2 linked regions of the Schizosaccharomyces pombe genome follow. The protein of the gene in region 2 binds, or shares a complex with, the protein of the main gene of each other region. Each region holds a gene or a part of one and is shown on either strand. Other genes may lie near its edges. The genes, in order: spp1 and spb70.

Evidence for each region.
Region 1: spb70 (region 2) and spp1 share a complex: the UniProt entries of both Schizosaccharomyces pombe proteins name them as parts of the alpha DNA polymerase complex.

The regions. Positions count from the first base shown.
Region 1 is NC_003424.3:2,425,267-2,435,302, forward strand, and holds spp1 (DNA primase catalytic subunit Spp1), read right to left. Parts: upstream 5,370-10,036; 5' UTR 5,352-5,369; coding exon 5,278-5,351; intron 5,194-5,277; coding exon 3,903-5,193; 3' UTR 3,710-3,902; downstream 1-3,709. Other genes in the region: epr1 (ATPase co-chaperone protein), read left to right, coding at 925-1,013, 1,148-2,201; ribosome assembly protein Rsa3, read right to left, coding at 2,267-2,509; tRNA m(1)G methyltransferase Trm10, read left to right, coding at 2,754-3,668; drc1 (DNA replication preinitiation complex assembly protein), read left to right, coding at 5,732-5,861, 5,918-6,550, 6,591-6,841; TOM complex subunit Tom70, read left to right, coding at 8,126-10,003. UniProt on the Schizosaccharomyces pombe protein: Catalytic subunit of the DNA primase complex and component of the DNA polymerase alpha complex (also known as the alpha DNA polymerase-primase complex - primosome/replisome) which play an essential role in the initiation of DNA synthesis.
Region 2 is NC_003421.2:284,030-294,684, reverse strand, and holds spb70 (DNA polymerase alpha B-subunit), read right to left. Parts: upstream 7,457-10,655; 5' UTR 7,046-7,456; coding exon 6,780-7,045; exon of another isoform or gene 6,739-6,779; coding exon 5,760-6,738; exon of another isoform or gene 5,718-5,759; coding exon 5,409-5,717; exon of another isoform or gene 5,370-5,408; coding exon 5,199-5,369; 3' UTR 4,981-5,198; downstream 1-4,980. Other genes in the region: kpa1 (DinB-like DNA repair polymerase kappa), read right to left, coding at 1-223, 270-709, 749-1,241; GTPase Ria1, read right to left, coding at 1,671-2,424, 2,470-4,622, 4,678-4,773; protein knh3, read left to right, coding at 10,214-10,655. UniProt on the Schizosaccharomyces pombe protein: Accessory subunit of the DNA polymerase alpha complex (also known as the alpha DNA polymerase-primase complex) which plays an essential role in the initiation of DNA synthesis.

The sequences.
Region 1 (10,036 bases), on a different chromosome or scaffold from region 2:
GCCTTGCTACATGAAGGCAAGAAGTTCGTTTGTTTTTAAGCAATGCAAGCATGGCATTATTATTAGCGCATTGGCTTCTTCTAAAAAACACAATCTTACATTTTAATTCGGTTGTGGAAAAATTTGATCTTTAGTTCAATGTCTTTTGTAAACTGATAATTTTAACTTCATTTTTTGGAAATGTGCATTTTGCTAATGCATATATAGCAGCAAGACCTTAAATAACAATATAAGTTTTCATGAGAACCATGTTTTCTTAATTAAGAAGACAGTAGTTTGTAAACTGTATTAAGATTATACATATATCAATATATGTTAATATATATATTTATTCATATATTCATTTTTTACAAAAGTGATTTTTCGGATTTCAAACTGTCTAAAGTTTGCATGTATAGAACACAAATTTATTTAGGGTTCAAATGATTTCGTACACAACTTTAACTTATGTTTCGCTTGTTGTATTTATTTACTTCAGCATTGGCGAGACGTGAGGGACCACACCATATTATGTATTTGCGGGTTTGTCAACACAGATTTAATTTACCCATAGCATATTACTTTATTTTTTAGCATTAACAGTATTTTGATTCGTTGTTTCTCGTCAATTCGCCTTTTTGTCTCTTTCTACATTTTTTGAAACACAGTTGGGAGCTATTGTCGCCGGTTTGTGAGAAAGATCACCATTTTACATAGAACGTACTGAAGGTATTGTATTTTGGCGATTGAACGGGCAACTCTCAATTTTTTTGCTTTTTTTGTATTTCAATTGTAGAATTGAATTGTTAGTTTATCACAAGCAATCTCAATTGCGGTTGATAATTCATTCCACTCCTCGGCCTTGGAATTTTGTCTTTGAAGCTACTTTATATAAGTCTTTTACTGGTTAACTTATGATTTTATGCAAATTATTTATCACCAATCATGAATAACCCTTTTAAGGATATGGATTGCTATGAAATCTTGCAAGTGAATCATGACTCTGACTTGCAAGAGATTAAAGCAAATTACCGGTATGAAAACTTGTTTTCAACTTAATCAATCAACATAGAATATAAATTTACAGCTTTTCGATCTGTGATTAAAACATAATCGTTTAAGTTGTGAAGAATTGATCGCCTTTGTGTATCTTTACTAATCATAACAGAAAATTAGCTTTGCAATATCATCCCGATAGAAATCCGGGCATTGAAGACTATAACGAAATATTTTCCCAAATAAACGCTGCATACAATATTCTCTCTAATGATGATAAACGAAAATGGCATGAAAAAGACTATCTAAGAAACCAATATTCTGTACAAATTGAAGACGTTTTGCAGCATCTACAAACAATTGAGAAAATCCCTTTTGAAAGCACCTCAGCGTTCGTTGAAAGACTGCGACAAGACGAAAAAATAGCGGGTTCCACAGACGACCTTCCAACTTTAGGGGACACAACTTGGCTTTGGACGTATGCCAAACCTATTTATCAAAAATGGCTAAGATTTTCAACGAAAAAATCTTTTGAATGGGAAGCTCTATATAATGAAGAAGAGGAAAGTGATGCAGCTACACGGCGATTAATGAAGAGACAAAATCAAAGGCAGATACAATACTGCATTCAGCGATATAACGAACTTGTCAGAGATTTAATAGGAAAAGCATGTGATCTTGATCCACGGAGAAAAAACGTTGTGAAACTAAGCGATGGAGAAAGATACAACTCCCTACAAGAAGCATCGCGAAAGCAAAGTGAACGTGATCGGCGTCAGTACCAGGAAACTTTTAAAAACCAATCAATTGCGTCTTGGACAATAATCGATCAGGAAGAAACATCCAGCGATGATGAATCTTTGAGCAAAGAAATTGTGAATTCAAATCCAATAATGTGTATGGTTTGTAACAAGAACTTTCGATCACAAAATCAATTGGAGAACCATGAAAACAGCAAAAAACATAAAAAAAATTTAAGGAAAATGAACCAAGAAATAAAAAAGCACGCAAAAGAAGCCCAGAAAAACGCGGAATCGAATAAACAACCCGAAGATGCTCCTAGCGAATCCCCATATTCGAACAAAGTTTCTTCCTCTGACTTCTATACGAGAAGTTTTGAGGAAATAGAAAAAACATTTACTTTTGTCGAAATCTCTGATAACGAGTTTTATACAGCATCCGAAGATGGTTTTTTGAACGAAGACGATAAGTTGGATCAAGATTAGCACCGCAAGCTTATCTTTTTTAATAGAATAATACAGGTCTGTTTTTTGCTAAGTTATATAAACCATTATTCATAAATTTTGTGACCAGCACGCAAACTTTCAATAAGCAATTGTAGTTTGTTATGATCAAAAATTTCCTTTTGCCTTAAATTGTCTAGCTCTTCTCCAAACTCTGAAGTAAGTTGTTCCATATATTCAGATAGTGATGGCTTTTCTGTTTCTTTTTTTGAAAATGTCTGAAACATAGGATTTTCAAGCATATTTGATACCGTCGATTTGTTATCGATTTTTTGATCGTTTGTTGCCATTTTTCAAAGCTTGTTTTGTCGAAGTTTGTAAATAATACAATTTTGCAAAATTTTTTTATTTTCGACTTCCTGAATCCCTTTATTACCCAAAGTTAATAATTGCGAGATTGGCGTAGTTACCAACTTTTTATACTTCACAACACTCTTACTTTTTCCATTAGATGAACAGCCTGGCTAGGTTCAAAATAACGATATAACTAGATAAATTTAGGCTATATTTTGACTGCAATAAAGTTGGGAAATTATGGAAAACAAAGACGCTTTAGATATTGGTAAAGATGACACAAATACTTCTGAAGCTGACGTTTCTAAAAATGAAACTCAAGAGCAACCCGTTCTTAGCAAATCTGCATTAAAAAGATTAAAAAGACAGCAAGAGTGGGATGCAGGTCGTGAAAAGCGAGCAGAGATGCGCCGGGAAAAAAAGCGATTACGAAAAGAGGAAAGAAAGCGAAAAATTGAAGCTGGCGAAGTAGTTAAAAGTCAAAAGAAGAGGATCAGACTAGGAAAGGTCGTTCCTAGTAGTATCCGAATTGTTTTGGATTGTGCATTTGATGATCTGATGAACGATAAAGAAATCAACTCTTTATGTCAACAGGTTACTAGATGTCATTCTGCAAATCGTACAGCTTTACATCCTGTAGAACTTTTTGCTACCAACTTTGGTGGACGTTTGAAAACCAGACAAGATTTTGTGCTAAAGGGGCAACAAAATAATTGGAAACGATACAACCCAACTACTAAGTCTTATTTAGAGGAATTTGAATCCCAAAAAGAAAAATTAGTATATCTTTCTGCTGATTCAGATAACACCATCACCGAACTCGATGAAGACAAGATTTATATTATTGGTGCGATTGTCGACAAGAATCGGTACAAAAATTTATGTCAAAATAAAGCGTCTGAGCAAGGGATCAAAACTGCAAAGCTTCCAATTGATGAATACATTAAAATTACGGATAGGAAAATACTTACGGTTAATCAGGTCTTTGAAATATTATCTCTTTGGTTAGAGTACAGAGATTGGGAAAAGGCATTCATGGAGGTCATTCCAAAAAGAAAGGGAATTTTGCTTAAAAGCGACGAATCGTTTGATGTTTCTGAGGATACTAGGTCTCAGTCAAATCAATCTGATAGTGAATTGGAAAAAGAAAATTAAATCGCTAGTTTAAAATCATACTAGTTATGCTTTTGATTTGTTTTGGTTTTTATTATTATAATGTATTTAGCAAAAAAGGATAAATAAAGAGGTATTAAAAAATATATTATTACTGTCGATTTAACGGAAAACAATATGCTCCACGTAAATAGAAGTCAGAGCTTCCATCCTTTCATGAGTAAATGTATGCCCAAATTTTTAGTTAAAGCTTGAATCGATTGTTGAAATACGATTTTAAAATTCCAAATTCTCATGTTTTCTTTTATTTCCTACTGTTTCTTTAAAAAGCTGGCTACTGAACGATTTAAAGTACAGCGTATAAGGATTGAGAGAAGTTGAAAAGCCATGCCCCTTGTTTGATTGTCCCCTAGCATTATCTTTTTGGTTTTCTGTTGTATTAGTTTCCATTGTTGGACCATGGCCGTTATCATTTTGGGAATTTTTATCCAACTCTTGCAAAAGATCATTCACAGTGGGTACTTTCAAAGGATTAAAAGAATCCATCCTCTCTATATCTATGGGAACACAAACACGACTAGTTCCGGGGTGGACGCAAAATGGAGATTTTAGCAAATGGTTTAAATGTCTAGAAACCTCAACATCCAATCTTGGATACAAATAGGTTAAAACAATGTCCTGCTTGGCAATCGCAATTACTGAAGGAGATATAGAGGCAATAGAACCAGATGCTAAGACAGTGTCAATGTCGGACCATTTATTTTTGCTAGATCGTTCAGGATCAACCTCCCATTTTTTACGAAGAGCAGATGCTAAATCCTTGTCTGGTAGTAATTTCAAAAGGTTTTCGGCTCCTTCTTTAGAAGCCCACGGATCTTGGTCTTCAAGGACAATTTTTACAAAGGCCGATTTGAGAATGTTGAGAGAACGAGTCAAATGTGGGTGAAGGGGTCTTTTTAAGTTATTAATAAGTCGTACGCCACCTTGAGGATTACCTACTACAACCTGTAAATAACTGGCAATCATTCTACGAGACCGATCGTCTAAAGAACAAGCAATTTCGTCACAAATCCAAGCGTGAATACCTCTTCGACCAGAGTATACCCACAATATGTGTTTAAATCCAAAGTCCTCATGAAAACAAATATCTAAAACTTGAACTGCGATCGTAATAAATGGCCAGCATTTTTCGCATATATTTGTTTTTGAGCAGCAGGTTCGTACATCATCGTAGTCAGTCATATCTATATCAAAAACGAGTTCCTTTTTAAGCGGATGAAATGTTGACTTCCTTATTGTTTTCCTGTCCCTGGGATTGGCACTATAAACGGGTCCAACTTCAAATCGGCTTGGGCATAAATTTAAAGCTTCCTTTTTTAACTCTTCCCAATTTGAAAAAGATAAATAACGAATATAAGCATCATTAGGAAGTGTGAACGCGAACTCCCGATGAGCAAAATCATTAGTGACTACCGGACCATGATTTAACCATTGAAATAAATATTTCCACGGAAAAAGATGGCGATAATATTGAATCATCGTCTCTGAATCCACAGCTCCCTGTTTACTATAAGAAAATTGTTAGAGAATTTTCATTATTTTAGAGGCTCAATCGAGTCCATAGTTAAGATTGTTCAGTATTCACACTTACGCGCCATCAAGTGTTCCGTTTGCAATTATCTCATCCAAATCTTTGTCGTCCAATTCATCGATTTGAACAGTCATATTGTAATAAGTTTAGCTAAAAACAAAGGTTATTTACATACAGCTCAACCATAAATCAAAAGGAAACGACAGCGTACTTAAACGTTATACGTTATTTAAATTTAAAAAACTGCTTAACGTATGCGTAAACATTCAGCAGTAAAATGGAGCATTCATTAGTGCATCTACTTTACTTTTAAAGCATAATTAACATTTCAACTTTGCATTTCGAGATACGTATCAAACTCTGTGCAATGGTATTTCTCCACATATAGAATTAGAAGAAATATATGTTTATGTAGATTAGCCTCTCTTTTTGTTTTGAGTTTGTTTTTGCAGTTGTTTGAATCGAACACTACAAAATTGAAATTGGGTCCAGGCAGTGCATTAATTGGCAAATCATGCACGATGAATCACGAACTAAACAAATATCTAGTATAAAAGCGCTCTTAAAGAAGTGGGAACATGAGTACGTCCATACGAACAATTGCAAACCTTCTAAGGAGGATGTGAAGAAACAACCAGAAATAGGTATGTAAGCCAAAGATACACTTGAATTTTTGAAGCAAACTAACGAACTTTTTTAGCGCTTTTATATAAGCAATACTACGAGTTGAAACGCGAATCCTCCATTACCCCTAAAAAAGCAAAAACAAAGGTCGACTTTAAGTTTCAAACTCCTACAAAACAGCGTGCTGAAACTGAAGCGAACGAGAGTCCTAAAGCGCCCCGAAATGATTATCTACAGGTTACTCCGAAAACTGTGGATAAAAGTCTTTTAGGTCCTACTCCACAGTTGTCACGTCGAGTACTTAACCTTCTTGAAGACATGTCTCCCATTGCAGATTCTCATGTGGATCAAATTTCGGATATAAAACATAACACTAGTGAAATTTCATCAACTATGATACCGACTACTCCATCAAAAAATCCCGAACCTGTGGCTCAACATACTCCCACCGTTCTTGAAACCCCCTCTTCATATCGCCTTCAAGTTTATACATCTCCTAACTTACTTCGAGTTAATGCGCCATGCCGAAAAAGTCTCAGTGAAATGCTTCGTGAGTTAAAAGATATTGAAGATGATTACGGATCAAATGAAGAGAAGATATTGCAGGAGTTTGAAAGCTTTAGTAGCTCATCTTCAGAAAGCCTTGTAGATAGAGACATATCACAACCTATGAAGAAAAAAATTAAACGACAAAATCGTCTTGTTAAATGTAAGGTTTTCTCCTGTTTGTACCTGAACTAACGTTTTAGTGCCCCCTTCAATGAATCTTTCCAAAAGTCATTTAGAAGGTCTTCCTGAAATAGACGAAGATGCGGAAAATGGCATTGACGACAATGAAGATACAACTGCTAGCAAAGATTCGTCACCATTTTTAGATCTGCAGAGTGAACGACAAAATAAAAAGATTATGAGAAACGGGCTTGTTATTGGAAAACAAGTAAGCCAGAATTATTCCTCTTACAAATTAAAAAAACGTAAATTTCGGCGTCACAGAAGCTAACATATAATTTGTCAATCGGAACTTTGCTGTTGTATTTAAAAAAACACATACTTTCTGATCTTCCTTAATAGGATATACACTTTTTCAATGAATGTTAAAGAGGTATATATATTTAATAAATCATGCATTCAATAAAACCTGGAAATAGATTTTGTGGGTTTTTGAGATTTAAATGAAATAATACATCATGAGTTTGTGGTATCCTGTTAAAAAAATTTTGGAAATATAAAAGTTTGAATGAATCATATATTTCTTGTTCTTAATCTTCGGGTAAAATCAAATTAGTTACTATCGAACGATAAACGTTTTATATTTTTACGTAGGCATTCGTCCAACATTAAATCTAAGACTGGAACGTTTTGATATACGAATATCATGAGGACGTAAGGAAAGAAGAAGTACAAAAAAAATCGAACCTTCAATATTGAAGCTGGCGAGAAAGACAAATAAAAAAACAGCTTCAAATAAGTTTGGATCTATTGAAATGAGGAATACATGAAAGCTGAATATCATCATTACTTTACATGGATTTGCATAGCTTATTCATCCTTAGGGGACAGCGATGCCAAATTTCCTCTTAACTAAATTTTTAGACAACCTAAACACCATACGTTGATGCTAAACTTCAAAACATGAATAGTCATTTCCAAATGTCATTTACAACTTAAGAAACCATGCTTTAAATAATAGATAGCTTATAAGATACAGGCAACAACTGTAATAGATTTTGGTCGCAACTCTTCAATTGTATTCAAAACATAGTTCAACCTACAATCAAGTTAACAAATCTTTTTAAAGACAAATAAAAGGGCTCTAGATAATCAGAATCCAAAAGAAGTGCATTGTGTAATTAACAAATACAGTCAATACGTTTCATTGTTTAAGGTAAACTTCTTTACTACGCTCTCTATATATTGTATTTTATACGGGGATAACATCAGCTCTTGTAGCTCAGTGGTAGAGCGCTTGCCTAGTAAGCAAGAGGCCCAGTGTTCAAGTCACTGCTGGAGCAGTTTTTTTTAAATTCCTACTTGATGCGGAATTGAGTAGAATTAATAAAACTAGCACCTGTGCAAATTATCACCATTTCATAATAATAGCTCCTATTAAACTGCTGTTCACCGTTTCTTTTTTTGTTTTCTATCACTTCGTAATCAAGTTTTAGTTCCTTAACCTTTGTCAATGAATGTGCTTTGCAGTTCGTTAGCAATGCAATAAGGTAGCATTCACTTTGCTGAAGTATAGTGGTCATGAATCGGTACCAACCTAGCCAAAACCAATACCATGTCTGGTATATCCAATGCAGAAAATGGTAAGGCAATTGTGTCTTCTGGAGTTTTAAATTCCGTTTCAGCATTTGTAAGGCGCCATAGGACATTTGTTTACACTATTGGTGCTGTTGCCGTTTTTGCTACAGTTGGGGGTGTTTATCATGTACAACAGAAAAAAGCTAGTCATAAACGTTCTAAAAAACTTAAGGCTCATCAAGATAAGGCTGAATCCAAAGTTAATGAAGGAAAAAATGAAGCTGCAAAGGTCGTAAAAGAAGAGGATCTTAAAAGCTCAGAAACTGGAAAGGATGTTGAAACAGCAGCCGCTGCTGCTGCTGCTGCAAAAAAGAAGAAGAAGAATAAAAAAAAGGTTAAAGCCAAGAAGGTCGGCGATTCTTCTGTCGATAAAATTGCTACTGAGGAATCGGTAAAATCTATGACGAAGGAGGAAAGGGCAAAATTGGCTGCCGAGTTAAAGACTCTTGGTAATAAGGCTTATGGACAAAAGGAATATGCTAATGCTATTGACTATTATACTCAGGCTATCACCTGCTCTCATGACCCTATTTTCTTCTCTAATCGTGCAGCCTGTTATGCAGCCATCGGTGATTTTGAGCAAGTAATTAAGGATACAAGTGAAGCTCTTTCACTTGATTCAAGCTATGTGAAAGCGTTAAATCGTCGTTCTGCTGCTTATGAGCAACTTGGTAAATTGGATGAAGCCCTTATGGATAGTACCGTTTCCTGCATTTTCGATGGCTTCGCTAATGAGAGTATGACTGCTACCGTTGAACGATTGTTAAAAAAGGTTGCTGAAAAGAAGTCGTCTGCTCTTTTAAAGGAACGTCCTCCTAAATTGCCAGCTGCCAGCTTTATCCAGACTTATCTCGATTCATTCCATGCTCAACCAAAACCTTTGTTTGATAATAAATTTGACGGTGATGCTGCTTTAGCAGAGGCTTATGAATATTTAGAAAAGGGTGAATATCAACTTTCGTACGATAAAGCAAAGGAATCCTGTCTGGGATCTTTCTCATCTCCTTCGGTTAATGCTCGCACTCATAATCTAGTTGGTACTTTTAAATTTGTATCTGGTGACTCTAAAGGTTCGATGGAAAATTTTAATGCAGCTATTAAATTAGATCGCAAGTTCATTCAACCATATATTCGTCTCTCAGCCGCTTATTTAGATGAAAATGATAATGAAAAAATGTGGAAGGTACTGAATGATGCAGAATCTGTTGATAAAACCGATTCGGATCTTTATTATCATCGTGCACAAGTTAGGTTTGTTTCTGGTGAGTTTGCAGAAGCCATTTCTGATTATCAAAAGTCTATTGCATTGGATGACTCTTTTATTTATAGCCATATCCAACTTGGAGTAGCTCAATATAAGACTCATGCAATTGCGGAATCAATGAAGACATTTGAAGATTGTAAAAAGAGGTTCCCTAATTCAAGCGAAGTTTATAATTACTTTGGTGAAATACTCTTAGATCAACAAAAGTTCGATGATGCTGTCAAGAACTTTGATCATGCAATTGAGCTTGAGAAGAGAGAACATCTAACAATTATGAGTGCAATGCCTTTGATTAATAAGGCTCTTGCTGTATTCCAATGGAAGAAAGATATATCTCAAGCTGAAAATCTTTGTCGACAGGCTCTATCGGCTGATCCCGAATGTGATATTGCAATTGCCAGTATGGCTCAATTCCTATTGCAACAAGGTAAAGCTCGTGAAGCCCTTGAATATTTCGAGAAATCTGCACAACTGGCTCGTACTGAAAGTGAAATGGTGAATGCGTTTTCATATGCTGAGGCTACTCGTACGCAAATTGCCTTGACTGAAAAGTACCCACAGTTGGTTGGTCGTTTAAGCAATCCTATGTAAACGAGATTGTATATGAGAATTACTGTTAGTCAA
Region 2 (10,655 bases):
GATTGCTGGAAAATGTAGCTTCAGACCCAATTGTTTTTCGTTTGCTCTCACCGTATTCGTCTAAAATTGTAGTTCCAAATCCATAGCTACATCTCAACAAGTTTTGGAAACTTTTAGGTAAAAAGATATAAGATAAAATCACCAAATTTCTTTGAATATCCCCACACGTCTTAATTTCCAAACCAAGTAATTGCTGCTCTAAAACTCTACCAATACCAGAAACCTGTAATGTTAAAGAATGCTTAACCAGATATAGAAAGACTGCTTACCTCTCTAACAGGCAAGTCATTCATGAATTTTGAAATCCCAATCTCGTCAAATGGGATAAAAAACTGATTATTTGGTTTTCTCTTATTGCTTGCAATTTTGGCTAACAACTTGTTTGCTGCAATACCACAACTGACTGTAACTCCTGTTTCTTCATGCACTTGTTTCCTGATTTTCTCAACCACCATCGTTATGTTTTCTACAGTAAATGCAAGCTCTTGGAGACGTAAATGTGAAGTCAAGTTCATATAAAATTCATCAATGCTTGCAGGACACAAATTCGAATCATACTGAGCAAGCACATTCTGAATTTCTTTAGATTTTATTGCATATTCAGAAAGATTTAACGGAATTACAACTAGATCAGGACAAATCTTTCTAGCAATAAATTCTGGCATCGCTGATCGAACTCCAAACTTTCTGGCCACATAATTAGCAGTACCTTATTCAGCATTAGTTTCAGTCAGATTCGAATACTTACACAAAACACTCTTCCCGACTGCCATTGGTAAAGACTTAAGTTTTGGATTCTTAAGTTCCTCTATTGATGCATAAAACGCATCACAATCAACATGAACAATTATTTGGGTCAAATCTCGTTTAGCCCTAAAATCCTCAACAGTAGTATCCACACTTTCTTGTCTAATGGTCCACTCTCTTTGAAACGCTTTATCAAACCTTAATTTTGATTGGTATTTTTCTACCTCAACTTGAACCTTTTCTATTCTTAAACGAAGTTCTCGGTCTCGTTTTTGTTCGGCTTCAAAAAACTTACTTCCTTTGGAAGCTTCGTAAATTATCTCGTTAATCTTTTTTTGATTAACATTTTCCTGTCCTGACTTGAGAACAGAAGGGCCTGCCAATCGTCGTTTTAAAGTAGCTTCTTCATCTGAACTACTGCTACCATCATCTTCAATGGTAAGTAATCCATTCTCCTTTATTGTTTCTCCTATAAAATCTTTTGCATTTTCCATCCGTCAAAAAACATTAAGGCGAATAGTTTTCAAAATACTAGAATTTGAATTAGTACAAAGATGTGTTTGTGTTTTGGCGCGTCGCGTCTGTAATCTATCACCTTCTAGCGATTACGCAGTAGAGTATATCATTATTTGTATTATGCATATCCCACAACATCGGTATTTTTTGGAAATTTGAATTTGTATTAACAATTTAAAACATAACAAAAAGAAGCCTAAAGAATCTTGCATGTGCGTTTTACACTATTCATCTTATAGACTTCTAATCTTAGTCCCATAGTTCATGAAACACTTAACTCAAAATCACAGCTACCTCAACAATGTAACAAAAAAAAAAAAAAAAACATTACCTCCATCTAACCAGGTCATTGTCATCAAATTACAATCTTTTCGTTTTCCTAAAGAAATTGGAATCAAGTACTATCTTTAATGCTTCAGTGTCCTCTGCTTCTCTGCCTTTTCAACAATCTTTTGCTCTACCAATAAGCCTTTCCTTTTTCGAACGTTCAGCATATAGCGCTTAGCAATATTTTCGCGATCGGCTAACTCGCCTAAATCTTCCAATTCCTCCTCAGTAGTTGGAACCCAAAAGGGATTCTCGTCTAGCATCTCAAAACCATGGAAGATTAATTGAGGATAGGCAGCACCAGATGTCCTTTTCAAAATTTCTACAGCGAATCCAAAGGATTCAACAACTGGAATCAAGGCTTTTACAATAAAAAATGGAGTCCCTTCCTTCATTTCTTCATCAATTACTCGTCCTCGTCGCTTCGAAACAACACCATATACCCTACCCAAGACTTCAGATGTGGCCTGAACATCGCAAGAATACATGGCTAGCATAAGTCTCGGTGACCAACCTAAAAATCCATGTCTAATAGACTCTTTCACTACCGAAATAACTTGACCGGGGATTTGGGGATTATTGATGGTAAGTAACTTACTATCTTCCGAGTCATCAGATATGTCAAACTGATCGATTGACACACAAATGCCTTGAACGGGTTCAGCACACAATGGTCCCTGGTGCGTTATTAGTTGAAATGCAGTAACTACATATTCAGAAAGGTCTGAGGGTATTAATTTTGTTTCATCGCTTTGTCGTCGAAAATCTCTCATCTTCTTGGTTTTGTCAAAAAGTATATTAGGACCCACTCGTTTGGGGCCAAACGCAATGATACTAGTATTGTTAGTAATCAACCAATAGAACACTAGTATAACCTACCTATCCAAATGATTTTTCAGCTCGCCTAAGTCAGAGTTCTCTTCCTCTAAAAGCTTGGAAAGCCTTTCATAAAACTTCTCAGGAGTCAACACTTCCTCCATACTTTTTGTTAAAGATTCCGAGACAACAACGTTTCTATTTTTCTTTGAAAAATTGCTGCTAACATTTTCAATTGTTTTAGAGTGCTTCAGCAGAAAATCTACGACAGACCCAGAAAGAGGTGTTACTGTAATTCCAATCGTAACTCCGCCAACTGGTAACGTTGCAGTGACAAAGCCAATACTCAGTTCTTTATTTTTTGCTAATAAGTCGGGTGTAGCTATGGTAGTTTCCCGATATGGCACAAGTGGCTGAGATGCTTGTATTTCAATTTTTGCAAACCGTTCCCTAAGGTCTTTTAAACATCTTTCCAAATGAATCTCTCCGGCACACATAATTACATGCTCTCCATTTTCTTCAACGGCTATTTGAACACATGGATCGGCTTGATTAAGCATGTCAAGGCCAGTCACTAACTTGTTCATCTCAAATGGACGAACAGGCTCTAAAGCGACCCGCACAATGGGCTCCATTTGCTGAGTTACGCCCACTAAATTAGGACCATTTGGAGATGAGCATAGTGTTGCTGTTCTCAAAACCGTTCCGGCAAGGCCACCGATTGCGAAAACGTTACCAGCGGGAACTGTCTCTAAATAAACTAGCTCCTGTCCCATCATTAAATATAATGACTCAACCGTTACCTTGGTAATATGTTTTTCAGGATTGACTGGATCATATTTTGGACCATAAACATATACTTCCTGTCCAACTGAAATTGTGCCACTGTATATCCTAGCAAAGCCAATTAAAATGTCCTTATCATCGTCCATGTCAGTTGTGCTACCTTCTAAATTGTCAGAGTTGGTAGAAGAAACGTTTTCCTCAATAGAAATGGTATTTATGCCGCTCTCAATTGATTCAGATAATTTTGAACGTATCAATTTCATCTCCTCAGCACTAAGTTGTTTGCGACGATGATTAGGAAGATCTCTTTCAGAAAAAGCTACCATTTTACTTATGTATACCAAAACAGGCTGTTCCTTACTAGCGTCACAACTTTCCATAGCCAGTGTAATATCTGGATCTATCATTTCGTAATGAGGAGTTGAACTCAAAACTTTCCTAGCTCGATTCGCTTGGGCGTTAATAGGAGAAGGAATTTCCCTAATCGCTGTTAACAAAATTGCAGTTGATAGTGGCAACCACTGTTGAAAAATCGCAAGTAGCAAATTTCTAGGGTCTTTGGATTTGATGTCACGGGGAAGAACTTTAATGTTTAATGCCTTAATGATTTTCTCAATGTTTTCAAGGTTCCTATTGCTCACAGCTGATTCATAAACAGCCCAGAGGTTTTCGAGAACAAATTGTACAAACATTGGTTTTAACCGTCGGCCTTGAAGATGTTTGGGCTGAAGAACTCTTTTAGTTTTAGGGTCTAGATAATAATCACCCCAGAGACATTTTGTAAGTGCTTTTTGTTTTAATCCAAGCTTTTTTTCGTAAAATTCTGAAAATTGGTCCAAACAAAATGCCCAGCCATCGTATGCACTAGCAAACACAACGTTTCCCTGTTCAGGTGCGAAATATATACCTTCATCACTGATGACTTCGTCGTTATCAGCTAATTGCATAAGCTCACCAGTATAAAAGGTGCCAATGACAGCATTTACTTGTTCAACAAGTCGAAGCAAATGATAATGAGCTTCAATAGGAGACAGTTTCAGTTCAGTAATCAAACGATCCATTTTGTTAATGACTAAAATCACCTTTATACGGTCTATCCATGCTTGTCTAAGGACAGTAATTGTTTGACTACAAACACCCTCAACTGCGTCTACTAAAACAAATGCACCATCGCAAAGCCTTGAGGCCGAAGATACTTCAGAACTGAAATCAACATGACCAGGAGAATCGATAAGATTAATCAGGTAATCTTTTTCAACTCTTTTTTCATCATTTTGGCTTATAACTTTAAAAAACAATGAAATGGCGCTAGACTTCATAGTAATACCTCTCGTAATTTCATCTTCGCGAAAATCAAGAAAACGAACAGTACCAGCAAGTTTGCTAGATATGATTCCATTCGAAGCTAGTAAACTGTCTGCAAGGGTTGTCTTTAATTAATCATTAGCAACTATTCAAAAAAGTTTAAAATTGCAAAATTCATACCTTTCCATGATCTACATGAGCAAGTAATGTAAAATTACGAATATTTTCCTGATTTTTTTGTAAGGACACAAGCTTTTCTGGAGGAATAACAGGCATTTGCACTACTTCCCCTATGTATGTTGGAGGTCAACTGTAGTGACTAAGTAGGTTGAGATGTGAAACACCAAGACTAGAGTCCAAATCGAAAAAATGTTGAACATTCAAATACTACAGTATAAAAGGAATACTCATTCAACTATAAAACAACGACTAAAAGTTCGCGAGTAGCGATTTGAGATATATCAGAGATTGTCTTAGACATTTGAGGAAAATGGTTAAATTAACAACATAAACATATGAGTAATTTTGCAAACAAAATTTGAAGAAAACCAAAATAGCGATAGATAGAAAATGAAAGCTGAAAAGTTAATTAATTCTAACGGTCTATGGTAGACATCTACATAAATAATGATAACCAATGATATTTAACGCTGAATTTTTTATATTTTCAATAAATTCCGCAGAAAAAGAGAGTATAATTATCATAGTTTTAAAATTTCTGCCTTGGTTCGAAGCCATACACGATGTGAATAATGATTAGAAGAACCATTATCCCCGAGCTCTAATGGCGCGATAGTTAATTTTGCAAAAGTGCCCAAATTAATCCCTTTGGTCGCTTTACCAGGATTCAATGATACAACGTTTTCAACGTTCTATAACATTAGTTAAAACAAAGTAGAAAATTAACATACCTTTACGAAATAACGTAAATCACTTGGTAAAATTAGTATGTCCGGCATAGTATTTAGGAATTCACCAAGTTTAAGATGTGCGATATCTAAGTTTGAAGGGTTGCACTTTTCAAGAGAACCTCCAGGGAATAAGGGATAAAAATGCCTTTGGTGAAGTACGTGAGAAACCAAACGTGCAAATAAGTTACCATGAGAAGGTAGACGAAATAACTCTTCTCTAGATGTGTGAAGGAGTATATCGTTGGTTGACACACCAAAGACGACATCATTAATGGAAAACATGCAAGGATTCGGGAAGCATTTGAAGTTCTATGGATTGGTCAATAAAAATTATTATACAACTTAACATACAGATGGAAGACCTAAGGCCACCCGATTAAATGCATCCTGTGGCCATGCAGGATGATCTGAAGCAGCATCATTGATGTGAGGAATTAAAATACAAGGACAAGTTAGCTGGCTTAATATGGGTGTGACACGCTCTTTAAACAACTCTTCCAAAGAAGTCGCAGACGTTCCTGTAATGTTTCCGGTACGTATTAGTATATGATTAATATCCAAGAATGGACCACATAGAATAACCAAGTCAACAGGATTTTTATTTACATATGAAATCATTGATTTTAAAGGGGAAAAAGAGAGATCATCACGGAGAGACCAAGGTCCAGATGCAATATATATAGAAATTGGCTGATTATTTGTATTAGCAACAAAGGTAGCGTGCTCCTGTTTAGATGAACTTGGGAACGGCAAAGGAGGTATAGGAAGGATTTCCTTGGCGATAAACATGTTACCGCTAGGATTGGATCCTTTAACTGAAACAATTTGACCAGGAAATATTGAGTAACTTGGTAGATCATCCACCTTCAAACGAACTCGAACACCAGCGCCTAGACGTCTTGAACTTTCAAGTAAAATGCTATTTTGGTTGAGTCTTCCACCTAAATTGGTACTTTCGACAACAATTCGTCCTACAACTACAACGGGTTCTTGAGTAAGTTCGCTAGGATTTGCCAAATCTTCATCACTTATGTTGTATTTTCTGCAAGTTAATGCACTAAAAAGCTCAATGCGATCATCCAGAACTTCAGAAGAATCATAAAGCTTTTGATACATGATCCTGTAATTAAATGCCTTGAGATCAAAATTCGCTACGATAACCAGCTTGGATGGAGCTGAAGGTTTTGAAGTTACAATTTTTAATTCTTTATTTAAAACTTCCAAAACCCTTCCAGCGTCACTGGAATTCAATTCGAAAGTTTCGGTAGATGGTTTAGACTCTTGCATCAACGAGTCGCCTGATGCGGTGGTCTTCACTGGTAGACCTAGTCTAGATATTTGTTAGTTAAAACCATTTGCTAATGTACGCACATGCTATCAATATTCATTCCCGGGATTTGCTTTATCGATTTTCTTTCAGGATTCTGTTTAAGTGTGGCTTTTACCTGCCTCTCCATTTGAAATTTCATGTCTTTAGCAAAGGCCTTGAATGTGTCAAGGTCGAGTTTTGGTGTATTTCCTCGTTGCAAACACCAGGACTCCCACTTGTAGAACATTGTTTGCTCGTCCATATTGCAAATTTGGAGAAGTTTATTTCGCTCATCTAGCAATTCCTCATCATCGATAGGAAATTCCATTTTTTTGAAGATTGAATGAAGTTGAAAATGAAACAAGATACCCAAAAAAAAAGACAGTAAATGAATACCTGGGAATATTACGAGCAAATTAATTTGAAGTGACTAATTTTGTACTGTGATGTGGGTCCTGAAAAAGAAATAAATAAGAATAAAAAATACAAGTACACGTACTAGCAATCCCAGTCCAAAAGTGCCCAGTGATAGATTTTCGAAGTTGCTTTTTTTAATTTGTTTACGCGATTCCAACCTAACAACAGATAGAAAAAACGACGTATAGCAGAAAGTTCAACCACTTAAAGAGGTACCCACCAATAATTATGAGTAAACCTTTTTAGGATAGGAGAGTGTATCTTCTTAAAGCAACTACTTAAATCGCTCTTCTAATAAAAACTCGGATATACTGGGACGCTCCGTGGATACTGTGGAGAAACGCAGTAGTATGTGGTTTAATGTGTTTTTTAAACCTCCTTAAACATTTAACGAGATGCTTTTACTATGTAATATTAGTTTACTGATAAATAGTGTAGTATGTATTTTTTTTGTTTTGTCAGCTGAAACTAAGCTATGTTACAATGTGTCCGAGTATCACTATATGTCACATGTTGTAATGTTCTATTTGCTCTATCTACTTTACATGGTAGGTTAAAAAGACAGCTACAGTACCTTTTATGATAATATAAATATCAGTTACAATTAAAGACTTTTTCAAATACTATAAACTGAAATCAACTGAACTTCGTTCCTCAGTTCGGTTATAAGCTACATTAGTGATAACTAACAATAGACCTACATAACAGAATACATATACCCAGCTGCTACTTAAAATACCTGTTTATTGCAATATAATTGATCACGAGGAAAACTCACTGCAATCCTAAGTATCGTTAAATATTATAAACTGCGTAGTTGACATTCGCTATACAGAACAGGCTTGCAACTACTTGACTAGACAATATGGATTGTACAAAGTGAAGTAGAAATATGTTTTATATTTTTTCTCTTTTTTTCTCTTTTTTTTTCGTTGTTTTTTTTTTTTTTTTTTTTTAAACTATAGGAATTTTTGCTAATTAATAGGATCCAACCCTATAGCTCAATTCAGCATATTCGATTTCTTTTTTTTTTGGCTAATTTGTTTAATTTTCAACTTAAAAAAAAAAAAAAGTAACCCAAAATAAAATAAAATGCAATAAAAAAAATAAGAAGCCAAACAATAATTTAAAAAAAAAAAACAATATCTAAGTTAAAAATTATTTCGTTTTCAACTCAATAAATATATACTGGAACATTAAGCTATGTGAAAGAACAAATCTTCTCATACACTACTAAATGTTTCCCATGGTGTTTGAGTTTTTCTTTTTTCATCAAAGAAATTATTTAATAATACAACTAACATCGTCAGCAATAAGCCTGGGCTGAACGACCGTCTTGTTTACAAAAGCTTTAGAAACTTTCCGATACTATGGAATGTCAGGTTTGCAAAGTAACAGTTTAGCGGAAGCAGCAAGATAAACAATTAATCACGGAAGAAAGTGATTTTGACTTTCTGAATCAGATGTTTCGTGGTAATAGAGGGCTGGCTATTAAGAATTGGTAGCAAACTCAATACGTATATAGCAGATGTATATATAGAGAATGAAAAGCCCAACTTTTTGTAATCATTTTAATCGGTGATATTTTATCTACTAAAGAGAGCTTAGAAGAAAAGACACTAAAAATAAAGCAACAAAATATAGAGTATGATTATCAAAAAAAATAAAGATATGTTTCAATAAAGGTGTGAAAAAGTACTAAAAAACAAAAAGCGAAAAAGAAAAAAAGGATTACACCATCTATACTTGATAGGCAAGCCCTACGTATTGTATTTATTCTTTACTCTTTAAGTGTTGCCCCGTCAGCAGTCTATTCATTTGCTTTCATATAAAATGGGTAGGATGATGGCCTTTTGATTGTATACCTCAAAAGCAATTGCTGCTTGTATAGTTAATCCATCTTAATTTTCAAGGAATGCTATACACTAAAAAATATTGCGAGCTTACCACAAAGATCGATATTACATTTTTACACACACGTAACGTTCAAATCTACCGAGATCACTGTCTGTATTAGTGAAACCCATTAATTTACTTTATACTAAATAGCGATGCCTAATCCCTACGCTCTTTAGCATCCTTCGTAATCACCTTGGTTTCCCGCATGCTCCGCGCAACTGGTTCCCGCCAATGGCGATCGTTTAATGACTTTCAAATGACATCAGCTACCTCGTGTCGAGCGAGTATCCTTCTAGCGCAATATGACGAATGCTATCGCCTAGTCAAAGCTAAAGGAGATAGTGCGTGGAAAACCTTGAATGTGCTGATATACACGGCAAATGGTCGCTTTGAAAAAATTTAAAAGAAGCATTAGTACAGCATATATAAAGTTTTTTTTACTCAAACATGTTTCTTAAAATATTTTTTATTATTTTAATATTTAACTAGATGCTTCTAGACTGTACCATTTTTACACAGTCGGGGTCCGGGATAGCGTTCCGTCATCGCGCCGAAAATGTTGATCCGTGATTGTATATAAGAAGCGCTTCCCGTCAAATTTTTCGTTCCATTAAAAAGGGAGTTTTTGACTAACGTCTTAACTGATATTTCCTATTTGCTTGTGTTCGCTTCTTACAAGTCGCGTTCTTTTTTTATTGCTTGTCAATTAAATTCCTCATCTTGCTAATTAAATTAAAAAACGATTTTGGTTTCAATTGCATTTGGATTACTTCACTGTTGAACTAATTAATTTATTATCAATTTAAACCTAATTATTTGTTGAAGTTCCAATTGTTTCCTCCTTTCTCCTGAAATTTAGAGAATCTTTTTGATCCCGTCAAATTTATTTTATTTTTTCCTTTATTAAAACCCCGTTTTCTCTTTTCGCACAAGATTAACCGACGTTTGTTGTTTACCCATTCATTTTTGGAAATCTCATACAATCTTCTGTTTTGCCTACTGCGCTAGTTATACTTTCCTTATTTACTTGTCGCCTGTCCCACCAACTCTTTTTTGCTGATAAAATTCACTTTTTTTTTTGAATTTTTTACCCAGCATCTCGAAATAACATCAAACTTAGTTTTATTTACTCTTTTTTTTTGTTTGTTACACAACATATTTCTCTTTTACGATACCTACAATGTTGTTCAAAATTTCCTTTTTGGCTTTGATTGCTTCTGCTCTCGCTATGTCGATTAACTCTCCCACCAATGGTGACACTTGGCAAACCAACGGCGAGGAGCAAATCACCTGGAATGTCGTTTCCACTGATGAACCCAGTGCTGCTCTTTACTTGACCAACTTTGCTGTTTATCCCACCGTTACCCAATACTTGGACACTGTTGACACCAGCACTGGTTCTTACACCACCAACACCACCAACTGGCCCACTGGTCAAGGTTTCCAAATCAACATGGCTTACCCTGGTCGTCCTGAGCAAATTTATGCTCAATCTCAACAATTTAACATTGTTGAGGGTGCTGCTTCTTCTTCTTCCTCTTCCTCTTCTTCCTCCAGCTCTTTGGTTTCCTCCACAACCTCTTCTTCCAGCTCTGCCACTCCTTCGACCACTTCTTCCTCCT